2 linked regions of the Astyanax mexicanus genome follow. The protein of the gene in region 1 purifies or fractionates together with the protein of each later gene. This does not show direct contact. Links are inferred from orthologs where the notes say so. Each region holds a gene or a part of one and is shown in the gene's direction. Other genes may lie near its edges.

Evidence for each region. Proteins that work in one complex are often made in the same cells at the same time.
Region 2: the proteins of sap18 (region 1) and acin1b fractionate together in Homo sapiens (co-fractionation; 7 studies listed by BioGRID and IntAct, with this or other methods). This does not show direct contact. The link is inferred for Astyanax mexicanus from reciprocal best matches to the Homo sapiens genes SAP18 and ACIN1.

What each region holds. Positions count from the first base shown.
Region 1 is NC_064418.1:25,416,753-25,424,027, forward strand, and holds the start of sap18 (histone deacetylase complex subunit SAP18), read left to right. Parts: upstream 1-4,235; 5' UTR 4,236-4,390; coding exon 4,391-4,462; intron 4,463-4,895; coding exon 4,896-5,005; intron 5,006-5,866; coding exon 5,867-5,989; intron 5,990-7,212; coding exon 7,213-7,275. Other genes in the region: uncharacterized protein LOC103025519, read right to left, coding at 735-2,122, 3,568-3,745. UniProt on the Homo sapiens protein: Component of the SIN3-repressing complex. Enhances the ability of SIN3-HDAC1-mediated transcriptional repression. When tethered to the promoter, it can direct the formation of a repressive complex to core histone proteins.
Region 2 is NC_064415.1:17,425,898-17,433,834, forward strand, and holds the start of acin1b (apoptotic chromatin condensation inducer 1b), read left to right. Parts: upstream 1-4,927; 5' UTR 4,928-4,961; coding exon 4,962-5,099; intron 5,100-6,956; exon of another isoform or gene 6,957-7,103; intron 7,104-7,843; exon of another isoform or gene 7,844-7,937.

The sequences.
Region 1 (7,275 bases):
TTAAGTGCAAAAAAAAAACACAAAAAACAATGGGCAGCCATAATTTTACACAACATGCTTATGATGGTGAGATACTTATTCTGCATCCCTTTCCCCACAGATATTGGAGATGTCACACCAGAGTTGACAGCGTTCCAGTTAAACATGGTAAATGAGGAAAGTGTATAATATTTCAAAACATTTCTGACGGCAAGCTAAAAAGTTTACCACAACTGGTTTGACAGTTATTTACCTGAGTTTACCAGGTTATGGTTTTAGCTTTTTAGTGATACCAGCTGCTAACCATTGATACAGTCTGTTTACAGATGGAAGTTAGACAGTACTGCACAACTAACTTAATGAGACAAATAAAAAAGAAGTGCTAAAAAAAGTACTACTGTTTGTGTATGGTACAGCCATCTTGGATTCTTAATTCTGTAATTAGTGAGACTCTTCCAAACTACTCAGTAGGAAATTTGGACCCAGTTTGCCAAAAGCATTTTAGCATTTAATACATCTTTACGTGGAGAGAGAGAGTGCTCAGTGTGAAGCTTGCTCGACCATCTAAGATGGTCCATCTCCTTTTGGAACCCGACCTGTGGAGACCTGTTCCAGTTTAAACTGTCTACCTGAAAGCAGAAAATTCTGGCATCATAATTTAAATGGAATAAAGCCTTAATGGAATCAATTAAAGGAATGAGAAATATGGAGTGAAACGGTATGAATGCAAAATGTGTACACAAATTTACCTTACTCTACTCTAGTGGGACAGCAGATATACACAGGTTGTTTAAGGCACAGGCAACCTGTACTATCTTGTCAAAAGTGGTCACGCCTGAACTACGGTCTAGGACTGTAAAAGGACTCTCCACTGGACCAGTGAGCATAGAATATCTTTTCTTGACCATTTGTATGACCCTCCCCACATGATTATACACATTCAACCTTTCTACAGTGACCAGAGAGGCCTGTTCTCTTAAATGTTGGTCACCTGTAAAGATCTCACCATGATGATCACTACTAGTGATTTTAAGCTCAGCCCTACAAGCACTGACCAAGTCTCTAATGTCAAAATCTCTCTCAGCCAATACTACATCCCCAGGCAGGAGTTTACATAGGAGACCACTACTCTGTACTAAAGTCTTATCGCTGACATTCCCTGGTGACCCCCTGGAAACAAACATGACAACACCCTGAGGGGCAACACCAATCACATATTTGAGCTCACTGACAAATGCCTTGTGAGGAGACTGAGGGACCATGTCCGCTGCTGATGCTGCACAATGAGGGTTTACATCTACACTGACTGCTTTTTCGAGGGACACGGTAAAGCAGTCAATTATCACGGCACAGTCTGGATGTGAGCACTTCACAGCAGCAGGAAGGTTTTTCCGAAGCTCCAACCTTGACGGCCAATACACAGCTGTGGGTACCAGAGTGGTAAACATTATGTTGATGACTCGATGAACAGTTCTGGTTACTGTTGCAACTTTAACTCCAAAACGGTAAGCTAAATCCTGATTCCTAAGATCAAGCCTAAGTCTCATTAGCGTGAGAAGTAACTGCTGGAATGTTGAAAGCTTGGCATTTTTGTCTCCCTTCATATGTGGTACAAGCAGCCACATTACAGTCTCAAACACAAAATAGTTTGGCAATCCTGTGTAGAACTGAACTTTCTCTGGATCGTTCCGGAACGAGGTTTCCGTGAGGGACATCTTCGCTAAGGACCCCCTCAGTTCAATGTTCTCTTTTCTCAGGGCGTTGAGACTGGCCTCATAGTTGACTGACTGTGTGCAAATGTTTCTCAGTGGTATTTCTTGTTTGATCTGGTCCTCGCTTTCTAATACACTTTCTTCTTCCCTCTCATCGTCGTCATCATCGTCGTCGTCCTCCTCCTCTTCATCATAGCTGTTTAGTGAAGAGGCTGCACTCTCTGGATCCCCCTGACAGTGGTTATGGCTATGGCCCTCTTTCAGACGCCCCTGCCCTTGCAGGAAAAGCAAGGCATTAGCAGCCTCCACTTGCGCCTCTTGTTTGTCATAGGGTTCAAAGGCGTTGGCTTCTTTTATATTCGGGGACAGAGGTGCTGAAGTGAAAACAGAGGGAACATAGTCTGGAGACCGTGGGTTCTTTACTTGTCTACCTGTGATATGGACAAAGAGTGTAAATATTAGACAATAAAACCATACTAAATAAATATGTTGTTTCAACATAAGCTGTCACATTTAAAGATGAGGTATAAATGTAATATCCTTGCTTTAGAAAAATCAGCTTAATATCAGAAATGGTGGTAGCTGGTTTCACACGGTCTAAGCTGGTCTTTGATAGTTAAGGTGGTTGAAAAGCTGGTCAGACAGGTGAAAATATACTCTAGACTGGTAAGCTAAATGGTTAACCAGCTCTTGCCTGCATAGTGTGTCTTGTTTGATTTTGGTCATGCTTGGCTATGCTGGTCAATTAGTGTGGCCTTGTTGGTCATGCTGGTTAACCAACTTGGTCTCGCAGAATATGCTGGAGAACCTGCATGGTTTTGTTGCTCATACTGGTCAACCACCTCTGTCTTGCTGGTAATGCTGGGCTTGGTTGTCTACCAGCTTGGTCTTGCTGGTTATGCTGGTCAACCACCTTGGTGTTGCTAGTAATGCTAGGCTTGGTGGTCTACTAGCTTGGTTTCACTGGCCAACCAGTTTTGTTGCTTATGCTGGCCAACCACCTTGGTCTTTATGGTCTTGTTGGTCTGCCACCTTGGTCTGACCCGTTATGCTGGTCAACCACCTTGGTCTTGATGGCTGTGTTGGTCTACCACCTTGGTCTGACCCGTTATGCTGGTCAACCACCTTGGTCTTGATGGTCATGTTGGTCTATCAGCTTGGTCTTGCTGGTTATGCTGGGCTTGGTTGTCTACCATCTTGGTCTTGATGGTCATGTTGGTCTACCACCTTGGTCTTGATGGTCATGTTGGTCTACCAGCTTGGTCTTGCTTGTAATGCTGGGCTTGGTGGTCTACCAGCGTCCAAAAAAACTACACTGGTCTTGCTGGTCAACAACCTTGGTCTTGCGGGTAATGCTGGGCTTGGTGGTCTACCAGTTTAGTTTTGTTGCTTATGCTGACCAACCAGCTTGGTCTTGGTGGTCTCCTGGCTTGGTCCTGGCTCATTATACTGGTCTTGCTGTTATCTCTGCTGAAAAAAAAACAGCAAGGCCAGTTCAGAATGCTCCAGCAGGTTGACCAGCTTAGTTTTTGACCTGCATAGGGTTTGAGTTTATGTTTGAGTTTAATACTTTGGCTGGTCTGCAAGCATGATCATTCTGACCAAGCTGGATAGCCTATATAACCAAGCTTGACCAAGTTGACTGACCAGCATGACTAAACTGGTGGAACAGTATGACCAAATTCACCAAGGTTGTTGACTTGTATCAGCTTGGCTGAGCTTGGTTTTATTGGTTATCTATGCTTCCAGGCCAGCCAAATTATTAAACTCAAACTCAACCATATCCTATGCTGGTCAACCATCTTTACCAGCCTGGTGTGGCCATGCTGTTGTTTCAGTAAAGGTAACTGTGCTGCTGTAGCTGCTGAACCTCTACCTGAAATGAAGTGGGTGCTGCAGAGTCTGCTGCCCTCGTTTGGCATCCAGCCTTCACGATTCACCGCGGCGATCCAGCGCTGCTTCCTCTCGGGGTCTCTGGGGAACCTGTAGAAGGACAGCGCGGTGCCGGGGGTCCTCCTGTTCCGACAGCCGGACACCACGCACGTGTGAACCATGTTACAGAGCGCCAGGAGCTGCGCGGGGCTCCAGTCTTTTTCTCACTCACACACACACACACACACACACACACACACACCACTGATTGATATTCTGACTCCCAAAATGGCGGCGGGGGGACTGCCATACAAACGCACTGACGGGTTCGGAGCGCGTCATCCGTGGGGCCCCGGTTCTGGTGTTGTGTCGAGTTGTGCTACCCTGTCAAACCGTGCAACCATACTGTATGTTTAACTGTAAAAATACATGCTGCATGCATGAGAAGTGTCGATATGACATTTCAATAGCCTGAATCGCTGTATCAGGATAAAGATGAGGCAATATAGGTGATTAAAAACATGGGACCCTGGGATGGATTTTTACTTTCTGGAATTGAGTTACCCAACTCTTGGAAAAAAACATGAAAACAGTAAAAATTAGAGTTTTGCGCACGCGCAGAGCCGCTAAGTAGCACATATCAATGGGTAGCACAACTCGACAGAACACCAGCGCTGTGATTGGTCGAGGCGCTCGGTCGCTACAGCGGGTCATCCTCAAGCGCCCGGCGGGGAGGCAGCTAAAGCTAGCGAACCTGAATTAGCGAGAGCGCTGCGTTTAGAGGAGCTTAAATCTGAGCTTCTGGTCAGAGAAAGAGGGTTCCAACGATGGCTGTGGAGTCGAGGGTGACCCAGGAGGAAATTAAGAAGGAGCCGGAGAAGCCGGTCGATAGAGAAAAGGTTTGTTAGCGCTGAACATTAGTTTGTTTAGTGAGGGGGTAGTGTGGAGCTAACGCTAGCATCCCGCTGCAGTTTGGTTCATACAGAATCAGCCAGCTAAAATCTGCTAAAGCTAACTAATAAATTAATATTTAAACTTTTTTGGAGTAAATTAGTTAACCATCTGATGGATATTAGCTCTGAAACGTCTATTTTGATGTTTAATAGTTCCTCTGTAAGCACGGCCAATTCAACTTGCTGGATAAATCCAGTTTGCTAGCTAGCTAGCTAGCTAACTAACTAACTAGCTAGCTAGCATGGATTGACTGTGTGTGTGTGTTTTTGTGTGTGTTTTTGTGTGTGTTTTTGTGTGTGTTTTTGTGTGTGTGTGTGTTTTTGTGTGTGTGTGTGTGTGTGTGTGTGTGTGTGTGTGTGTGTGTGTGTGTGTGTACAGACGTGTCCGCTGCTGCTTAGAGTTTTCACCACAAATAATGGGAGGCATCACAGAATGGACGAGTTTGCCCGAGGAAATGTACCATCAAGCGAGCTTCAGATTTACACCTGGTGAGTGAACGTTCTTATGTCCGGTTTTGACTGTCTGTAACTAGGGCCGGGCGATATAACCTAGTTAATTATCTATATACAGCTCTAGAAAAATGAAGAGATAACTTCAGTTTCTGAATCAGTTTCTCTGGTTTTGCAATTTATAGGTATATGTTTGATTAAAATTAACTTTGTTGTTGTTTTATTCTATAAATTATGGCCATATAGTAATTATTGTAAAGATTGTCATTTAGACTTAATTCAAAGAAAAAAAGTTCATATTCCTAAAGTTTTAAGAGTTGAGAAGTCAATATTTGGTAGAATAACACTGGGTTTTTAATCACAGCTTTCATGCATTTTGGCATGTTATCCCCCACCAGTCTTACACACTGCTTTTGGATAACTTTATGCCACTCCTGGTGAAAAAAATACATTTTGATGGCTTGTGCTCATCCATCTTCCTCTTGATTATATTCAAAGGCTTTTAAATTTAGTATAATCAAAGAAATTACCATTTTTCTTTTTTTTTTCAATATTCTTCAAATAATATACTGCACATAACAACTTCAGTTTTTTATTTGTAGACAAACAGCACCATTTAAAGTGATGCCCAAGCTATTGTTATTGTTGTTATATGACCTAAATACTATATATAGAAAAATAGTTCTAATTTAAAATTATCAAAGTATTTATTTTCACACAAAGAAATATTAACGAATGAAAGTCCACTACATTTTAAGGACAATTTCCTTCAGCTCATTTCCTCCCTCTCTCTTTCTGACTTTAATAACCTTTAGCAACAAGTATAATAGTCATAAGAGGAGATCTCAAATCTTCTCCTGGCTTTAACACCTCTTGTGTCTTGTGTGTGTTTAAAAACAGGATGGACGCCACCCTGAAAGAGCTGACCAGTCTAGTAAAGGAGGTTTATCCTGAGGCTCGAAAGAAAGGCACACACTTCGGGTTTGCTATTGTTTATCCAGACCCTAAAAGACCAGGCTACAGGTAATGTAGGACAGTTCTGTTTTGTGCAGTATATATTTTCTCGTTTCAGCCTTTTGTGTCTCTGTTTCAATTTTTCATTCTTATTGCCACAGTCAACATTCTTGAACAGAACCCTTGAACAGTTTAATATCCACAGTTTAAAGCATCTAGTGGTTTTAACTGCCTTTGCTACAGTTGCCCGTGTGCACACTTCATGTACAGTGACTTGATTATTTGGAGCATTTACAACCAATTTTTGAGAAACATTCAGCGAGTTAGATCAATAGAATGGTGGACTGAATGCTGAAAGTAGTGTAACAAGCTAAATAGACCCTAAATTACTTATATTACTGAGTAACACGCGTGCTTCCAAACAGCCCCTGCATTGCTCCAGGTCTTCATCTGAACTGAGAAAACAAGGTTCAATCAGAAGCACTGCAGTCTTAATCCCTGGATCAATAACATATTGCAGAACAGTCACTGGAGAGAAAAAAATAGCATGTATTTTCAGAACTGCTGGGCGATTTTCACGATTAATTTGGTTAATTTAAATTAGTTTTAATGCGATTTTTTTAAAGTTGAGTAATTGTGATTTTACATAGACATTTTATCATTTTAATCTAAAACATTTAAAAAAACGCTACTCATTTCTGAAGTGTTTATCTATCTTACAATGCTTGCCGGCACCTCCCACAGACTGAGAACTGAGCTTGTACCAAAAAAAAGTTATATAACATATATTTAGCTAGAAATAAATCCTATTGCTTTAAAAACTGCAGCACCATCACTCTCTGCTTAGGATCTGTGGTTAATTGTGGAAAACAATAAAAATCTCTCCTTCAAAGTTTCTTCTGAGACTCGTTTAGTGCACTATTTCTCAATTTTTCAGTCACAAACCCGTGTTCTTAAGTATAATCCAGTGTGTGAGTAACTCCAGGGTGTGTGGACGAGGTCAGCGTGTGATATGAACGCATGAGCTTAAACTATGTTTTGAATTATTTACTCAATGAGTCAACTCAACCCAAAGCATCTGAACACCATTTTATTTGTAACAGTTAAACCTAGTTTTGAACCATTTCTTTGTCATCTGTAGATAGATTTTTAGTATGATCACAGTTTTATGTGAACTCATCCTTTTATTTAATACATTTTTCTTTTTTATCTACAGTCCTAGGTGTTGTCTGACTGAGGCGTGTAGACTGTAGATATATAATAATTTTAGAATTTTTGCTTTGCTTTTATAGGGTCAAAGAAATCGGTAACACAGTATCTGGGCGCAAGGGTGCAGATGACTCGATGACCCTGCA
Region 2 (7,937 bases), on another chromosome or scaffold:
CCTGTTACCTTTCTATCTCTGTGTTACAGTCAGACTTAGAGCAGAGCCCTCATGTTTTTTTGTACAGCTCTGTCCCACATCCTTAATATAGAGATGAGACTAAAGCACAATACCAGGAAACCTTAATTCCTCACTTTGTCTTCCATTTGTCTTTTTTTTGACCACCTTATCTTTGTTGTCAGAATTAGCTCTTTTCTTCATTGTGATGAAAGAGCTGACTGTATTGTTCCCCTTGCTTCCCTGTAGTATTATCTGTTATCTGTATGCTCATGCACTGACATGTTGTTTGGTCTGCTTATGCTAACAACATATATCAAGGCTGAACTCTTAATTCCTGAACACACAAAGTGCATAACTACAACTGCAGCCTTGTGCACTGTCTCAGACCGCCACCATGTGGACCATATCAGTATTACTGCACATCCTGGCTTGCAGTGTGAACAGATTCTCATCCTAGAATACTGTTGTCTCTTATCCTGCCTGGAATTGGTATCTTATTAATCTCTGGGTTATTGTATTTATAATTCATCATAATGACCTGTATCATTCTCTCCCGAGTGACCTGCTCTTTCAGAGACTAGTTTTTAAATCTAAGAAAAAAACTCAAATACAACTGAAACCATTGTAAAGCTTAGATTAGTTGGCCTTAGAGAAAGCATTGTAATCATATTTATTATTTTGTTTGTTTGTTTGTTTTTAATCAAACATATGCATGGCTTTAAGTTGCTCTTTACAAATACATATATATATGCACATGTGACCAGGGATGCTTTCCTGCAACATTTTTGCAACATTAATAATTGCTTTTAAATGTGGAGATTTGTTTTCTTTTTGTACCAGAATGTATTTTTGACACTCATTTTTTGATGTTTATTTTAAATTTAAATGGGTTTCTTCAAACACCTTTTATGTAATGGGTACTTTTGTGGACACTTCATCTGTAGCTAGGCATCCTCCGGTACTTGTCATAAAACCATAAAACATTTTTCCAAAATACATTTTTGTTTAAATGCAGTGGTCATGAATGTTTCTTTTTGTCGCCCCCTGCTGTGCTTAAATATTTACCATGTTTGACTCTTTAAAGCAGTGGCCCCCAATACTGCCCCTTGAGGATCACTGTCCTGTGCATTTGTCCCATAGACTGTATATAGCTGGACAGAGCATCGTCTCTCAAAAGTGAAGCCACCACAGGTCGGGCGCCCCCTGCTGTTCGGCTGCAGAAAGCTGTGTAACCCCACCCACCCCCATAGGTTTCAATGGCAAAACAGACAACTTTTAATCACGTTTTTTTCTAATATGCTGTAATTCTACCTCCATTATTTAAATGCAGCAGCTAGTGTAACCTCTGCTTATATTGTCAAATTTTTATATTCTCACAGAGTTCTTTTTTTAAAACGTTATTCAGCTCTATTCAAAACAGGTGTGGTTATTGTAAAAGGGCTGGTTATGGGCGGGACCAATAACAGACCGTCAGCTCCGCTCTGCAGCCTGTGACCGCGAGGCAGCCCTCAGGGGCGGGGTTATTTAAATGAGTAGGAGCTCTCCACAGTCTTTCTCCCTCCTCTGGTCTCTACTGCGCAGACTCTGGTCTCAGAATCGCCAAAATGGCGGAAGATTTTGGCTTCATTTTCATTGAATGAATGGGAACGGCGACACGGCGTCCATCTTTATATACAGTCTATGATTTGTCCCATCTAAGGCCTTCAATCAATTAATCAACAAAGCCTCACTTAATTGAAATGGATGTGTCAAAGCAGGGAATATGCAGGAGATTGGGCTTTCGGGACCAGGGTTATGGACCACTGCATTAAAGGACTCATTTACTGCTACTCTTCTCTATTTCTTTAATTTGTCTCAGTTTTCCAGTCCATGTTTAGTTATTAAATGTTCAACAGAAGAAAAAAAAACCATTTTAAACAGTTTACAGTTGGACAAGAAAATCCTATTACTTATTTTAATGTAATGTTTGAAGCTTGAGTAATTTACGCTATGGTAATACTGCAGGCAAATCAGATTTTTTTGTGAAATCAGATCTGTTGAGATAAATCCACACTCGTATTAGCTCTTTTTGGGCCCCTTCTATCACTCTGGATTTGATGATTTGTTGTTTGTCTTGTTGTCAGTAACCATCCAGAGACTTATCACTTAAAATCTGATTGTAATCTCAATTGCAGTTTTCAGTTCCGTGTGGTTTCTGGATGTCCAGATTATCAAATTATCAATCTGGATACAATCTAGATATACATAAAACCAGATTAAGGCTGGCAGTTTGAACACAGCCTTTAATTTTTTCAGATTTCTGAAAATATCTTACAACAAATCATATGTTTAGGCTTCCTTAACAGTTCTACCTTTATACGTTTGGATTGCCTACACACTGTGACATAAACCAACCCACTTAATGGTATGGATCAAGTCTGAATCTCTTGCTTGGCTTCTTTTGTTACAAGCTGTTTAATTATAATTATTGCTCCCTAACCCATAAAGTTTTATGTATTAGCAACACAGCAAAAGTGCAGTTCAACATTGTTATTTTAGGTTGTGCGGTATTTTATGCTACACTGTCATCATACCACAGTGACTATATAAATATATTATATTCTGACAGCAGAAAATGAAAATGATCTCCATCACAAGTGTATATTGGTTTTAAACACAGTAATCTTCAAATTGCTGAGAGAACATTCATGCAGTGTATACGATATAGAGAGAAAGGTGTGAACTCTGTAAAGTAAAAGAGTGCTTAAAAAAGTGTAGCTGAAAGAAGTGAAATGACAAAAGTGTGGGTGTGGTGAACAATAGCTCATTATCATTCAAAGGAACAGGAACTCAGTCCGGTAATTGTGAATGGGTGCTGTTGCTGAATCGTTGTGGTATATTGGCCATTTCACACTTTTTATTCAGACCTCAAAACTGTGAAAAAAGTGAAAGTGGTCACATTTAAACTAATGGGTAAATACATGATAGAATATGTAATCTAATTTAGTGTGTAAAAATGTAATATGTAATAAAATATTTTGTTGCAGAAAATGTAAGCTTACAATGATAATATAGGTCCAGAATAACGTTTTGGTGAGAATGTGTAATGCTAAAAAAGTACTTTTAAAATATGTATTGTGGTGTGATCTTTTTTAAGTTGTTTACATCAGCTCTTGTTTTAGCACCATTGACAGCACTAATTTTGTTATAGCTAAAAATATCCCGGGACCTACCAGACACCATGTTTTTAAAAGAATATATATACATTTACAGGAATGGTAGCAGAAGCACATTGATGCCATTTATTATAATATTTATATATTATTATAATATTTTGCACTCCCATTATGGAACACTACTGCTTTAAAATAAAAAATATATAGGACTGCTGCTTTAAATAACTTTAACATACTTTTATGCATGTTAATGTTTGTTTTATTTTTTATTTGCTTAATAAGTTAATAAGATAATATTAAATAAAAAAGAACAGGAACAAAACTTTACACTAATTTGGCTTACTTTGTTATGTTTCTAATTATACTTTGTTGTTACCTAGTTTAGTTGGTTTTGGCTGGTCTTTGAGGGTCAGGGGAGCTGGTTAAGCAATTTTTATATAGTGTATAATATATAAGTGTGATTTTATTCATGCTGGACAACCAGCTTGATCTTGTTGGTTAATCAGAGTTTGGTAATGCTTGCTGTCTTGCTTGCTTGACCAGCTTGATTTAGTCGACTGGTAGACCAGCTAAATCTTAACCCATATGAGGCCAGACTCATTTCAAAATGTAATCATTGATCAATTAATTGAACCGCTTGGTCATGTTTGTTTCTTGTTGTGGGCATGTGACTGTAAAAAAAAACGTTTTAAGGTTAACATCATAATGTAACAAGTGACACAACATCAATATATACGTTATTTAAGCGTTTGAATGGTTAAATGTTTGGAACAGAGCTGTAGAAAAGAAAAAGATAGATTTTTAAAGGAGCTTTAGTTTTATGTCCAGCAGTAACCCATACATAAAGTGATGTAAGGAACTTTCCACGTATTTTAAAGGGTCTGTGACACATACATCACCATTGGCGTTATACCTATACCATCCCATACATCTAGACTAGGACCTCTAGTACCTGAATGTTCCATATACACATACACACAGATTGCACAAATACTTATATTTATTCCCTTTGTTTCTCTATCAATTTTCTCCCTATTTATCTCCACATACAAAACAAAACAAAAAAATTATTTGTCCATTTTTTTTGGGTGGTGGCGGGCAAAAAAAAATAATAATAATAATACTCTACCTGACACTACACTTCTACCGAGAGCATGTTCTAATATGTGCTACCTGCTTTAAGACACACACAACTTTTTATGTTAGTTTAATCTCCTCCACCCACCTACACAAATCTCTGGTACTAAGTGTGCATATTCTCAACTGCATCATAACATGATATGCTACCCATCGATAGGAGCTTCTTAACGACACTGCGCATGCGCCAACTCACATTTTTTTTGTTTTTATCTGTTTTTCACGATAATACTGTTTTTTTTCTTGTGTTCATTAAGCAACCTGAGATATATATAAATTTGCTTGAGTGTTACAAAAGTGTAAATGGCTTTTTTTATAAAATGAATGAATATTAAATTGAATACTGAATTAAATATAAAACTGGTTTCTAATCACCTCATATGCCCCTTACTTTATCTGATACAGTAATTTGGCCTATCCTTAACACCCTACCTGACACTACGCATCTGCCGGGAGCATGTTCTAATATGGTGTTTTTGCGTTTTCACCTTTAAACACACACTAGGGTAAGAGGCAGTTTGACACGGTAGCACAGCTTGTCAGGACACCGGTGCCCGTGGTTGTTTTTGTGGTCGCCGCGCTGTTCGGCTTTTTCCGGAGAGCTCCGGCGCGTGACGTCAGCGCGTCAGGCCGAAGTTCGAGCGATCGGAGAGCTGAGGGGGAGGCAAAATGGCGGAGCTCGAAGATGTTACGCTGGACGGGAAACCGCTTCACTCGCTCCGTGTGGCGGATCTGAAAGCTGCGCTGGAGCAGCGAGGCCTCGCGAAAAGCGGGCAAAAAACCGCGCTTATAAAGCGCCTGAAAGGGGTAGGTTTGCAGCGGCGGGTCGGCTCTAATAAAGCAGGGCAGCTCCGCTAATCAAGTTGAGCCGGAGCCGAGCGGCAGGCCGGAGTGCTCTGCTGGAGGCTCCGGGAGCGGGAATGCAGGTTTACTCCATGTGCGCTGGTTCGGTACTTCTTTGGTTACCGGTCTGGCTCGGTGTGAGTCCGTCTTACGCCGTGCGTGCGTGTATGCGCGTGTTTAGTGCGAGGGGAGTCGGTTGCTGGGTCGTGTGATCCTGAGGTCTGTGAGTTGACTTCGTGCCCGCGCCCTGTGTGTGTGTTTGTAGTGCGCGGGGGCGCGCCCGGCTCTGAAAGCTCAGAGCGACGGTTGACGTTTGGGCTGGAAAACAGCCGTCAAACTGAGCAGAAAGTCCGCAGAGTTGGATGAAGTTTGCTAAGCTTGCCAGCTATGTCCTCTTCTGTACAAATTGGTTGCTAAATGTAGTTAGCGTTAGATAGCTAATTAATTATGAAGCGTGAAGTTGGCTTATTAGACCTAAATCCAGCTTATAGGTTCGCTAGCTACTCATATTAAGCTAAGCCACACAGGCTTATAAGGGCTGTTAGCAGGTTAGCTAACCACATAGCTATCTGTCAGACCGCTTTAAAACACCCAGACTTGTGTTACTAAGTAACTAGTTAACCTTATGGTAAGTTAGTTGAGCTAACTCTAGCTAGTTTAGCTAAACCACATTAAGTTAGTTAAAAAAAATAACTTTTTACACACATTAAAGGCTGAAGTTAGTTTTTTTTATTCATAGCATGAGAGAGGAATAGTTATATACTACCATGTAAGTTATCTTAAAACAGACTTAAGTTACTCTGTTTTATTTCCAAGCTTGGTTCGAGTGAGCTGCGTAACCAGCTTTTTTTTATCAGCGTAGTGTATAATAATACGTGCAATTTCTGTCTTCATGCTGGACAACCAGCTTGATCTTGCTGGTCAGTCAGAGCTTGGTAATGCTGGTTGTCTTGCTAAACGTTAACACAAAAGAGCCCAGACCCATGTCTGAGTAAGTTACTGATACCAATTTTCAAAATTGTATTTTATTGATACATTCCTTGAGCAGCTCGTTCATGTTTGTTTCTTATTGTGGACACATGACTAAATATTATAAAGTTAAACACATAATGAGACATAAGGACACAACTATTGACCCTAACTGTTATTAACATGTTGTTCTATAAATCAGGTCAGAACTAGTTATATAGAACGGCAAACATTTATTTAAGCATTTGAATTGTTAACTGGGTGTAACAGACCTATACTGCACTTTTAAAATTAGCAAGTTTTATCTCCAGACTTCATGTGTTAGCTAGCTAATCATGTTAACCTGAGCCACGCAGGCTTATAAGGGCCGTCAGCTAGCTTAACTAGTTAACTAGGTTGCGTTTTTAAACACACACACACTTATTTTGCTTATTTAGCCAAAACCTATTTATTTACTTAGTTAACTCAAACATTTTTGTGTTTCCTAAACAGGCTGTGTTGGTTTGAAACATTTTAACACATTTTAAAACCATATGAACAGCGTAGCTATGTGAACCATCTGGCTCCTATAACCTATTTAGTTATCGTCTTTGCATCTGTTTTGACATGTAAATTACTTTTTAGTGTTCAAGCAGACATTTGCTCTGCTGATGGGTCTCTACAGGACACTACAGGACACGTGTAAATTGTGCACTTCACGCCAATCATGAGTAGTTGTAGTTAGTTTTGGGGAGTGGATTTGGACCAACGCGCCTCCCATCTGAAGTAAAACACCATTTATAAAGAAACCTTATTTAGCAATGATCACACTGGGACCGTAGCTACAGTACTGAACAGATCAGGCAGGGCTGCGGGAAACCGGTAACTACTCTTTTTTCCCTCAAAAAAAGAAGCGACTTGTCAGAGACCCAACCGTGTGTGTTTTTACTCTGCACCTGCGTTAAATCATGCTCGACACTTTAAACGAGCCTTTAGAATCCGTTTTGCTTCTGATCAGAGGTGAGTAGTAGTACAGATGAGCATAAGTGTTGTAACCTAAAAGTACAAGTTAAAGAAGATGTTATCTGCTGAAACAACTTGAGGAGAAGTAAAAAGAGAGAGATAAATTCTAGGGTTTAGGTACAAATACGAAATTAATAATTACTTTTCTGCTACTGAACAGTTTAGTAGTAGAAAAATGATCAGAAAACATGTTTTACTGGCTCCAGGATTTAAGATATTTTTTTTTAGGATAAGTGAGCTAATACTCATGCTTTCTTTCTTTATTTACAAAATAAGTAATGCAGATAGAGACCGGGGTAATTTGTCATTTATAGTGTTAATGCTTTATACATTTATTATAACGAATGTAGAATAAAATACACATGTAGTTGCTGTCATGTTATAGTGTATATAGTTTTTTTTAACATAATTTAATCTCTCACTTACTTACTTTCCAACGCAAATTTTACATCTGTACTTTTTGTATGAAAATGCAGTGTGCCTTTTTTATTGTAGCATAAGTAGGCTTAGACAGTATGACAATTTTAATGTTTTGTGATAAATCTTGTTACTGATATACACTATACATATTGAGTATATTGTGAATATGATTCAGTCGTTCAAGTACAATAATCAAATGTATATTACAGAGAGTCTAATTTTAATTGATTGTTTCCAGCAATGTCTAAATAAGAAGCACTATAGAAATTATGTCAGTGACTTATAACGCATCATCAAATTGTCTTTATATCATGTGTTTCCTGTGATGAGTTTGCCATGCTAATACTGATATGCCAGACTGACAATGTCTTTCTGGGCATAAATGAGTTCAGTTTAACTTCTCACACTCGC